Linked DNA regions of Danio rerio. The protein of the gene in region 1 interacts with the protein of each later gene in a pairwise test. Links are inferred from orthologs where the notes say so. Each region holds a gene or a part of one and is shown on either strand. Other genes may lie near its edges.

The links. The genes of interacting proteins can lie anywhere in the genome.
Region 2: the proteins of rab3il1 (region 1) and nudt18 interact in binary tests that used the Homo sapiens proteins (3 or more experiments, as listed by UniProt). The two-hybrid records come from large-scale screens. The link is inferred for Danio rerio from reciprocal best matches to the Homo sapiens genes RAB3IL1 and NUDT18.
Region 3: the proteins of rab3il1 (region 1) and rab11a interact in a two-hybrid assay, tested with the Homo sapiens proteins (2 studies listed by BioGRID and IntAct). The two-hybrid records come from large-scale screens. The link is inferred for Danio rerio from reciprocal best matches to the Homo sapiens genes RAB3IL1 and RAB11A.

What each region holds. Positions count from the first base shown.
Region 1 is NC_133200.1:3,665,883-3,669,648, forward strand, and holds the start of rab3il1 (guanine nucleotide exchange factor for Rab-3A), read left to right. Parts: upstream 1-1,416; 5' UTR 1,417-1,541; intron 1,542-3,766. UniProt on the Homo sapiens protein: Guanine nucleotide exchange factor (GEF) which may activate RAB3A, a GTPase that regulates synaptic vesicle exocytosis. Promotes the exchange of GDP to GTP, converting inactive GDP-bound Rab proteins into their active GTP-bound form.
Region 2 is NC_133183.1:55,665,717-55,669,482, forward strand, and holds the start of nudt18 (8-oxo-dGDP phosphatase NUDT18), read left to right. Parts: upstream 1-1,056; 5' UTR 1,057-1,108; intron 1,109-3,457; 5' UTR 3,458-3,467; coding exon 3,468-3,620; intron 3,621-3,766. UniProt on the Homo sapiens protein: Mediates the hydrolysis of oxidized nucleoside diphosphate derivatives. Hydrolyzes 8-oxo-7,8-dihydroguanine (8-oxo-Gua)-containing deoxyribo- and ribonucleoside diphosphates to the monophosphates. Hydrolyzes 8-oxo-dGDP and 8-oxo-GDP with the same efficiencies.
Region 3 is NC_133193.1:20,516,614-20,520,379, forward strand, and holds the start of rab11a (ras-related protein Rab-11A), read left to right. Parts: upstream 1-851; 5' UTR 852-971; coding exon 972-1,011; intron 1,012-3,766. UniProt on the Homo sapiens protein: The small GTPases Rab are key regulators of intracellular membrane trafficking, from the formation of transport vesicles to their fusion with membranes.

The sequences.
Region 1 (3,766 bases):
AATCATTAAATTACTTTATTAAATCATTATTTAATTAAATCATTATTAAATTACTTTATTAAATACTTAGATTAAATTATTAAATCATCATTAGATTATTTTATTAAATCATTATTTAATTAAATCGGTGAATAATTATTACATTTATTAAACACTTATTAGATTTGGTTATTAAATGATTTAAGATTTAACTATTAAATCATATTAATAACAATAAAATAAATAATTTTATTAAATCATTATTAAATTACTTTATTAAATTCTTATTAGATTAAATTATTAAATCATTATTAGATTATTTTATTCAATAATTATTTAATTAAATCATTATTAAATTATTTTATTAAATATTTATTAAATTAAATGATCAAATCATCATTAGATTATTTTATTAAATCATTATTTAATTATTTTATTCAATCATTATTAGATGTATCTCCATTTATTTTTCCAAATAATTGAATTACTTTTTAGACAACGCAATTACAAAAGTTATACAAATGTAATTTCAACGATGTAATTAGTGATGAATTTAAGTAACTAACCCGACACTTTCAGCCAATATATACGATTATAAATCAAATAAACGCATACATGTGAGCTCATTTACACAAAATCACACCGATCGCTAGTTAAATGAAAATGCTGGTAAAAGCAGAATGAAAACAGAAACATATTGCATGCAAATCCTCTCTACTCTGCAACAAAATGCAGTTTTTTTATAATATCAAAAACATTCTTAAATCAAGAACCATTTCTGCACAAGCAAGTCTTGATTAAGGAAATATTAAGCCGAATGAAGTTGAAACGAGCAAAATAATCTAGTTTTTCCTTTTGACACATGATATATTACCCCAATGGCAGATTATTTAGCTTGTTTTAAGTGAAAAACTCACTTAATTTTGCTACATTATTTCTTCAAACAACAAAATGCTTCCTGATTTGAGAATATTTAAATATTTGGACTAAAATCAAGACAAAAAAAATCGAAGTAGCTTTTAGTGCAGTGCATTGCTCATTTGCACACTGCATGCATAAGAAGTAAGCAGCAATACTCACAGCCTGTGATGCTTCATGAATTGCCAGCGTTTTTACCGGAACCGTTATGATTGTGAGATCCAGACGCCCACAACTCCGGTCACTTGACCTGATAATCTGTTTTTCCACTCACAAAAGAGGCATTGTGCAAAACTAGGGGGGGCTTATTAATCTGTGCAAATCTTCCACACACATTTATAGACGTTCATAGACTCGATTATTAATTGCGTGGTTATGTAATGAGAACATTATATCGATGATCTGATGTTTTAATTCATTATTGAACGTTTGTTGTATTTTGAGGCCCTCAGAAGGGAGTTTTCTGCAGTTTTTATCGCCCCCTAGTTGATGAAATGCTGATCTGCTGGTGGCCCCGTTGCATTTCTTTAACCCTCGAGTGTTGGAGCTGGGAATGTTTAGATGCTGGGAACATGCAAACGGCTTGTAAGGGTGTGTTTTATTTTTGCATCAAGAGTTTATGAGGAAAGAGCCGGGTCACTGGGGTAAGCCTGATTTTTGTTGTTGTTCTTTTTATATTTGCGTCTGGGTGTTTTATTTGACGTGAGAAGTGCTCTGACATTATATTGAAGCATTGTGCCTAAACACTGGCTTCCATACAATCAATTTGCATTGGGACAACATGAAGGAATTAAGTTACCTTATTAGTTTTAACAAATTTAAGTTAGTTAAAAATAAAACCTCAAGAATTGTGTTGATTCAGCTCATTTAAAAGAAAGTCATCCTGTATTTATTGAGTATATTTAGAAAACAACACTTACGCTTCACCTGCTTTGTGTTCTATTCATAAGCATTATTGTGAGTTCTATTTGTTATTATATGAGATTATTATTAGGATGTACTGTAATAAGTTATTTGTTCCCTACATTTATTTCAATAGTATATTTTCAGTACTATTTGGAAAAGGGCTGCTGTTGTTTGGTGTCATTGTTGAAATAGCATGGTTCATGAATATGATCACTTGCTGAATATACTTAATTGAAATATGATATATTTGAACTTTTGCTTAATATGTACACGTAATTATTGTAGATGTTTATGAAAAAGGATAAATGTTATAGGATATGTATTTGTCCACTTGTTTGTTAAAATGCTACGGATATGATATTGCATATATCATATATTTTATTATTATTTTATTTTATTATTTTAAATTTGTGCTTTAATATAATATAATATAATATAATATAATATAATATAATATAATATAATATAATATAATATAATATAATATAATATAATATAATATAATATAATAAATTATATTATATTAATCATATTATGTCAATTTAATATAATATAATATAATATAATATAATATAATATAATATAATATAATATAAAATAATTAATATAATAAATATAATATAATATAATATAATATAATATAATATTATATAATGTAATGTAATATAATATATTAAATTATGTTAAATTAATTCTATTATATTCTATTATATTAATTATATTATATTATATTAATTTAATTAAATATAATATAATATATAATAATAAATATAATATAATATAATATAATATAATATAATATAATATAATATAATATAAAATAATATAATATAATATAATAAATATAATATAATATAATATAATATAATATAATATAATATAATATAATATAATATAATATTATATAATGTAATGTAATATAATATACTAAATTATGTTAAATTAATTTTATTATATTATATTATGTTAATTATATCATATTATATTAATTTAATGTAATTTAATTTAATATAATATAATATAATTTAATAAATTTATTATAATATAATATAATTTAATAAATAAAATTAATATAATATAATATAATATAATATAATATAATATAATATAATATAATATAATATAATATAATAAATTATATTATATTAATCATATTATGTCAATTTAATATAATATAATATAATATAATATAATATAATATAATATAATATAATATAATATAATTAATATAATATAATATAATAAATATAATATAATATAATATAATATAATATAATATAATATAATATAATATTATATAATGTAATGTAATATAATATATTAAATTATGTTAAATTAATTCTATTATATTCTATTATATTAATTATATTATATTATATTATATTAATTTAATTAAATATAATATAATATAATATAATATAATATAATAAATATAATATAATATAATATAATATAATATAATATAATATAATATAATATAATATAATATAATATAATATAAAATAATATAATAAATATAATATAATATAATATAATATAATATAATATAATATAATATAATATAATATAATGTAATGAAATATAATATACTAAATTATGTTAAATTAATTTTATTATATTATATTATGTTAATTATATCATATTATATTAATTTAATGTAATTTAATTTAATATAATATAATATAATTTAATAAATTTATTATAATATAATATAATTTAATAAATAAAATTAATATAATATAATATAATATAATATAATATAATATAATATAATATAATAAATTATATTATATTAATCATATTATGTCAATTTAATATAATATAATATAATATAATATAATATAATATAATATAATATAATATAATATAATATAAAATAATTAATATAATATAATATAATAAATATAATATAATATAATATAATATTATATAATGTAATGTAATATAATATATTAAATTATGT
Region 2 (3,766 bases), on another chromosome or scaffold:
AAACTAACTTAAACCCCAAATGTGACCCTGGTGCAAGTATCATTTTGGCAAAAGCCAAAAATGCATGTAGGTCAAAAGAATTGAATTTTCTCTTATGCCAAAATCATTGTATTGAGTAAGGACCATTAGGATATTTTCTAAATATTACATTGTAAACAAAATTTGCATCGCTAAACACTAGAAAACTTTAAAGGCGAGTTTCTCTATATTTTTTATTTTATTGTAAGCTTGGTAAGCTTAGTTGGTAATAGAAAGTGTAGTTATTCCGATTTAATTCATTCATTAATTTGATTTCAGCAGTCCTTTATTCACCAGGGGTTACCACAGCGGAATGAACCCTCAACCTATTCAGTATATGTTTTACACAGCATATGCCCTTCCAGCCACAACCCAGTACTGGTAAACACCCATACACTCTTACACATACACTATATATATCTATATATATATATATATATATATATATATATATATATATATATATATATATATATATATATATATATATATATATATATATATACTATACTATACGGTGCATGTCTTTGGACTGTGGGGGAAACCCGAGCACCCTAAGGAAACCCTCACTCAGGGAGAACATGCATCTCCAAACAGAAATGCCAACTGACCAAGTCGGGATATCATTAATGTGATGTATAAATCTTAATTACCAAAACCTGCCTTTAATAGTTTCTTGTTTTATAGTACAGGGTAACAAATATGGGACGTTTGTCATGAAAGTAGACGTAGTCGAGTGTAAAGATCGCTAGAGTTGTGTATTGGGACATGGCCATTGTAGCTTGTAGGTAAGGGATAGTCTAAAAATTGGCAGCTACATTTATCTAGTCCTCAAACGAAATTAAACTACAGCTTGTTCTCTTTGTAAAAGCTATTATTTAATTATAGGTAACTAACATTAATCTATTATTTGTCATCAAGGAAGCAAATACATTAAAAAACTAAAATAATAAAGCGAGACTGCAAAAAAAAAAAAAAAAAAAGGGAATTTGACATGACCCCTAGATGAGTGTTCTCGCGAAAGAGGTGTTATCGCGAGACAAGAAGGAGATGTTTTGAGTCTACATGCGTCTGTTTTATGACAACCTGGGTTAGTAAACATTGATGTTTTAATTTAATGTTGTTGTATTAAGTAGTTATTCGTAATAATGCTTTGTCATCTCAGACTATGTAACCTTACGTCATATTTATTTTGCTTTAGGTCATTTTGCGTACAAACACAATGTTACTTTAATGTCGTGTAATAATCAAATGTAGGGGGGGGCATTGTGCTGTACGTTACACTCATAAATAGATTAAATAATTAGATACGTCTTCTGTGGAACTTTGTCATGACATTGCCATGGTTTAATTGTAGTAAATATAATAACAATTATTTCTTGTTGCATAACCCACCATTTTTTTATTTAACTACCACAATGTTACTACAAATGTTGTGGTTAATCTATAGCATTGCATTGATTTGTTTTTACAAGGATTTAACTACAGACACACACACTCACCGGCCACTTTATTAGGTACACCTTACTAGTTGGCTACCAGGTTGGATGCCCTTGTGAACTGCTATAATCCTTCGTGGCATAGATTTATATTAGAAATATTCCTCCGAGATTTTGCTCCATATTGACATGATAGCATCATGCAGTTGCTGCAGATTTGTCAGCTGCACATCCATGATGTGAATCTCCTGTGCCACCACATCCCAAAGGTGCTCTAGTGGATTGAGATCTAATGACTGTGGAGGCCATTTGAGTACAGTGAACATATTGTCATGTTCAAGAGACCAGTCTGAGGTGATTCACGCTTTATGGCATGGTGCGTTATCCTGCCATAAGTATAGTATAGAACTCCATGCCTTCATGTTGTTGAAGCAAAATTCTGACCCTACCATCAGAATAACGCAGCAGAAATCAAGACTCATCAGACCAGGCAACATTTTTCCAATCTTCTATTGTCCCATTTTGGTGAGCCTGTGCGAATTGTAGCCTCAGTTTCCTGTTCTCAGCTGACTGGAGTGGCACCTGGTGTGGTCTTCTGCTGCTGTAGCCCATTCGCCTCAAGGTTGGACGTGTTGTGCGTTCAGAGATGCTTTTCTGCATACCTCTGTTGTAACGAGTGGTTATTTGAGTTACTTTTCAAAACTGAGCTGGTCGGGTTTGGCGATCCTATCCCTCTGCATTTATCAGGTTTTGGTGAGCTTTCCACTTATCAAAAACCTGTTGTTAGAAACCTAGGATTTCAATTCGACAATGATCTGAAATTTAACAAGCAATTAAATACAATTGTTAAATCCAGTTTTTTCCATTTACGACTTGTGGCAAAAGTAAAGTCGTTTCTTTTAATTTTTAATGACCTTGAGGAGGTGATCCATGCTTTTATTTTGGGAAGACTTGACTATTGCAATTCCCTGTATGTGGGTATTAGTCAAAATGCCCTAAATAGATTGCAATTAGTACAAAATGCGGCTGCGAGACTTCTGACAGGGACTCGCAAGTTTGCACACATATCCCCAGTTCTTTCCTTTCTGGGCTGGCTGCCTGTTAGGTCACGGATTGATCTGGCACCATCTTACTTATTAGACCTGCTACATGTATACAATCCTGGTAGGTAACTGAGGTCTTCTGATGAATTTATTCTATCTATACCAAGGTCCCGGTGTAAGCGGAGTGGGGATCGGGCTTTTGCTGTTGTCGCCCCAAAACTCTGGAACGGGCTTCCTTCCCACATCAGACATGCTCCAACTCTACCTGTTTTTAAAAAGCATTTGAAACGCCATCTTTGTTCTCTAGTATTTGAGCCTTTTTAATGTTGAGGGGTTTGCCTTATGTTTTAATTGCTATGTGTGTGATGTAGATTTTATTTTTAGTATTGATTGTGTTCAGCACTTTGGGCAACGTTGTGTTGTACAAAATGTGCTATATAAATAAATAAACTAAATAAATAAATAAACTAAACTGTTGCCTTTCTATCAGCTGGAACAAGTCTGGCCATTCTCCTCTGACTGCTGATGTAAACAAGGCATTTGCGTCCCAGAACTGCCGCTCACTGGACTTTTTCTCTTTTTCGGACCATTCTTTGTAAACTCTAGAGATGGTTGTGTGTGAAAATCCCAGTAAATCAGCAGTTTCTGAAATACTCAGACCAGCCCGTCTGGCATAAACAACCATGCCACATTCAAAGTCACTTAAATCAGCTTTCTTCCTCATTCTGATGCTCGGTTTGAGCTGCAGCAGATCGTCTTGACCATGTCTACATGCCTAAGTGCAGTGAGTTGCTGCCATGTGATCGGCTGATTAGAAATTTGCATTAACCAGCAGTTTTGACAGGTGTACTTAATAAAGTGGCCGGCTAGTGTATTTTTACTGTAATAAAACTGACTCTTCTTGGCAGCCTCTTTATTTGACGATGATATTAATTCCATTCTGTTGTCAAATTAAAGCAGCTCCGCCATGGACTCGCAGTCATCGATTCTGGAGGAGAACTTGGAGAAGATTTTGAGGGGTGAGGGTCTCGAGTTTGATTCAGTCGCTGAACAAGTGGACCCAGTCACACTGAGGAAGAACGTGTGTTATATTGTCGGCGCAGTCATTTTCAATTCAAAGGTAAAGATGGTGTTGTTGTTCTTGCATGTGAGTGTTGTCTATTTACTGGAACAAGACTGTTTGGTAGCAAGGAATGAAACTGAAGGCAGCACAGTCAATGTGGCTTAATTTACAGTATGCCAGTGTTCAAGAATTATTCTCAGTAC
Region 3 (3,766 bases), on another chromosome or scaffold:
TAAATAAAATACGGCAAATAAGCAAATAAGCAAATAAGCGTGTTACAATGTAACTTAAATGAAACCAAATATTTTTCTCTCTTTATAGTATAAATTATGGAGTCAGATCAGTCTAAAAATACATTTACAAAATAGGATTCATACATGCATAGCACAATTCACATTTACAAAATCCAATTTGGATTTACACACAATTTGTGATTTTACAAGTAAACATCCTAATATTTTCGCCAAATGAATTGGATTTGTGTATATATGAATCGTGTTTTGAACTTAGGAATCGATTTGTGTATTTATGAATTGTGTGTTGAACTTACAAATTGGATTTGTGCAATTATTAATCATGTTTTGAACTTACTAACTGGATTTGTGTATTTATGAATCATGTTTTGAACTTACGAGCTGGATTTGTGCATTTATGAATCATGTTTTGAATTTAATAATTGAATTTGTGCATTTATAAATTGTGTTTTGAATTTGTGAATTTGATTTCTATTTATGAACTGTGTTTTTAATTTTATGAATTGGATTTATGTATTTACGAATTGTGTTTAGAACATACAAATTGGATTTTGTAAATGTGTATTGTTTTGTGAATATATGAATCATATTTTGTAAATGTATTATTTTTGAGACTGATCTGGCTCCATAATAAATTGGCTCAATTGAGACGGTGGTTCCTTACAAAAACATATGTCTTATACTTCATTATATAAAATGCCCTTGGTGAACAGAAATAATACACAATGAATAAAAATAATAAATAATCCTGCTTTTATTTTGACAGTCTGTAAGGGCCCTCACCCGGAACACTTGAGGAGATGTTCTCTGGTTCGCCTGCTCGCTAAGCCGTTAGCATGGCTACTGCCTAATCACAGACAGACTGCAGTGCCGCAGCGGAGAGGACAGCGACGGGTCGCCTCCACTTTCCTTCACATTCTTCCATTGTTTGCGCTTTTGTTTTGATCGAGATGGGGACACGAGACGACGAATACGACTACTTGTTTAAAGGTAAGTACGTAATACTTTTGTCGCGACTGTACAAGTTAAAGCGTCTCCGATCATCGTGGTTATTGTTAGTTAGTGTGGTTTTATATTAAACAGTAAAGGCCAGCTAACCGGCTAGCTCACTTCGAGCAGCCCAAACAAACTCCTGCTCTTCGGCTGGAGTAGCGTATTTGAGTCTGTATCGTTATATGTATAATATTATTTAGTTACTGTGCATTGGGTTAATATAGATGTTGGTTAGCATAAAAAACACAGTTTTCCAGAGATCCGACCACACCTTGAAGCGGCTAGCTGAAGTTAGCTGACACTGTCGCTGGATGAGTTTAACGGAGCAGGCGGAAATGGGAAACGGCCTGTATTCCCGAATGTTTTTTCAAGCCTGTGTGTCTTTGTTGTTTTTTTGGCCATAATATATTTTGATATACTTAAACCACCGTTCGCTGTCATTATATCTTAGTTCATATACTAAAACTGAACTGTGACCGACGCTGTCATGACGTTTAACATCTCCTTTTGTATTCCACCGAGATAAAAAACATCATATGACATTGAAGCAACTTGAACAACGAAGGAATTTCTTCAATTTGGATGAACTGTTCTTTTAAATAGATAATTATTTGTGTCAGTTTGTTGTCTTGGAAGTAAATACTAGATGTCAGGTGATGCGGCCTGTTTTTCTCGAATATGTTGCTCATCGTTTTTCTTTCATTAAGCAAATGTGGAGTTTCTATCATTTGGAATAAGCTCTTGAAACAATAAGTTTAGTCATATTTGCAGCACAGTTGACTCATTACGTATGTTTTCACTTCTGTGAGACACATGTAGTCATTTAAGAAGTTCTGTGCTGTCACGTGAATCGTAGTGATAGTAAACTAGCTACCTCTACCTGTCTTCACGTAAGCCCAGAACCACTCGGAAATCTCCACCAGTTTCTGTCATAACAAAATGTCAAAAAATGTCACCAAAAATGGTAATCTCACCCACATTGTGAAATAAATAAATATATATATATATTTTTTGCCATTTATTTAAATGTACTTCTCTCAAATGATGTTGTGTGGTGTGTTGTGACATAGAGCTCTGAGTGTGAAGAGGTTTGTTCCTTTATTTAATGTAGACAGAAGTGTTTGTGTAAAGAGTCATTTAACTTAAAAATTAAAATGTGGCAATCGTTTACTCACCCTCATGTCATTCAAACCAACATTTCCATTCATCTTTGAATTGAAAATAAATTTGACAGATCCCTTCACTGAAAGTCCATCTAATAAAAACTGACAATTTATGAAATTCATAAGTAGATCTGGCACGATAACCGTTTTCAAGGTAAACTGTGGTTCAGAAAAGGTTTTGAAACTGCCAAAATATTCTGCTATACCATTTAAGATATATTATATAAGATTTTTTTAAAACATTTTTTTTTTCGAAGATGCTCTTTTGATTCGTAAAGAAATCTGTGTTTTTGAAACTAACGAGTAAAGCAGAAGTCTGTCCGTGCCAATAGCCTAGTGGTGAAGTGTGCTGACATTGCACCATGGTGCTCATGTCGACCCGAGTTCAATTCCTGGCTCAAGGTCCTTTGCTGACCCTTCCCCTCTGCTCCCAATACTTTCCTGTCTGCAAACTTTACTGTCCTTTCAAATAAAAGTGAAAAAACCCTAAAAAATAACTATAAAAAAGGAATACAGCAGAAGTCAATGGCTGCCTCCGAAATCGCCTACTACTCAGTAGATACTGCATTTGAATTTAAATGTACTACTAAATCTGCTGTTTAAAAAGTATATTCTGTACAGTATGAATGGAACTCGGATGTACTACATACTCCATTTTGTCATGATTACGTGACCTACCTGTATAAGTTGCGTCGCTTCACTCTCATTCAAAAATTCTCCCACAGGGCATTATGAGATAGCACAGTGTGTATCGAATGCACAATTCTCGCATATACTGTTTTTTGAATTCTATGAATTTGGACACACTGGTCCGGTCTCATACTGTTTTAGCGTAATTTATGATATAGAAGTATAGACACATTTCGGACACAGCCAATGATCCATTTGAATTTAGCCTGACATGTTTACAGTTCCAAAATATTTTAAATATTTCTTAAAATAAAATGATGTATTGTGTTCAGAGGGGGAAAAGTTTTTGTTTTTTACCCAGACATTTAAAAAGAATATATTTTAGAGCAGTGATCACTATACTGTGAAACCGTGATGTTTTATCCAAGATTATCATACCACCAGAATCTTACACCAGCCCATGCCTGTTCATTAGCACTCTAAATTTATCAGGCTCTTAAATCCAGTGCTTTTGAAGAGAAGTTATTGTTTTATATGATGAACCCATTTTGATTGGTTGTCATATTTTAATACTGACGGACATGCATATTTAGAGTCAATCAAATATGGTAAACAAACTGTCAACATTTTGATAAAATTCTCATGTTTTACGTAGAAAGTTTTAAGTTGAATTTTGAAGCATATCAGAAGTCTTGTATGCTGAAAAATGACTATGTAAAATGTAGTTTCTTTTTTGAGTTTTTGCGCTCCAAAATTTGTTAAACAATGAATTGTATGTGTGGAATTAAGTAAAATTAGATTTTTTTTTATGCTCGCTTTTCTTGAAAACATGTAAATAGTTGATTTCCTATCACAGTTTCTCTATTGTTTGAGTGTGAATGTCATTTTGAGTAGAAAATGAACTGCAGATGTCATAAACTCAATTTATAATACCTGACAACAACAGCAATGAAATGGCA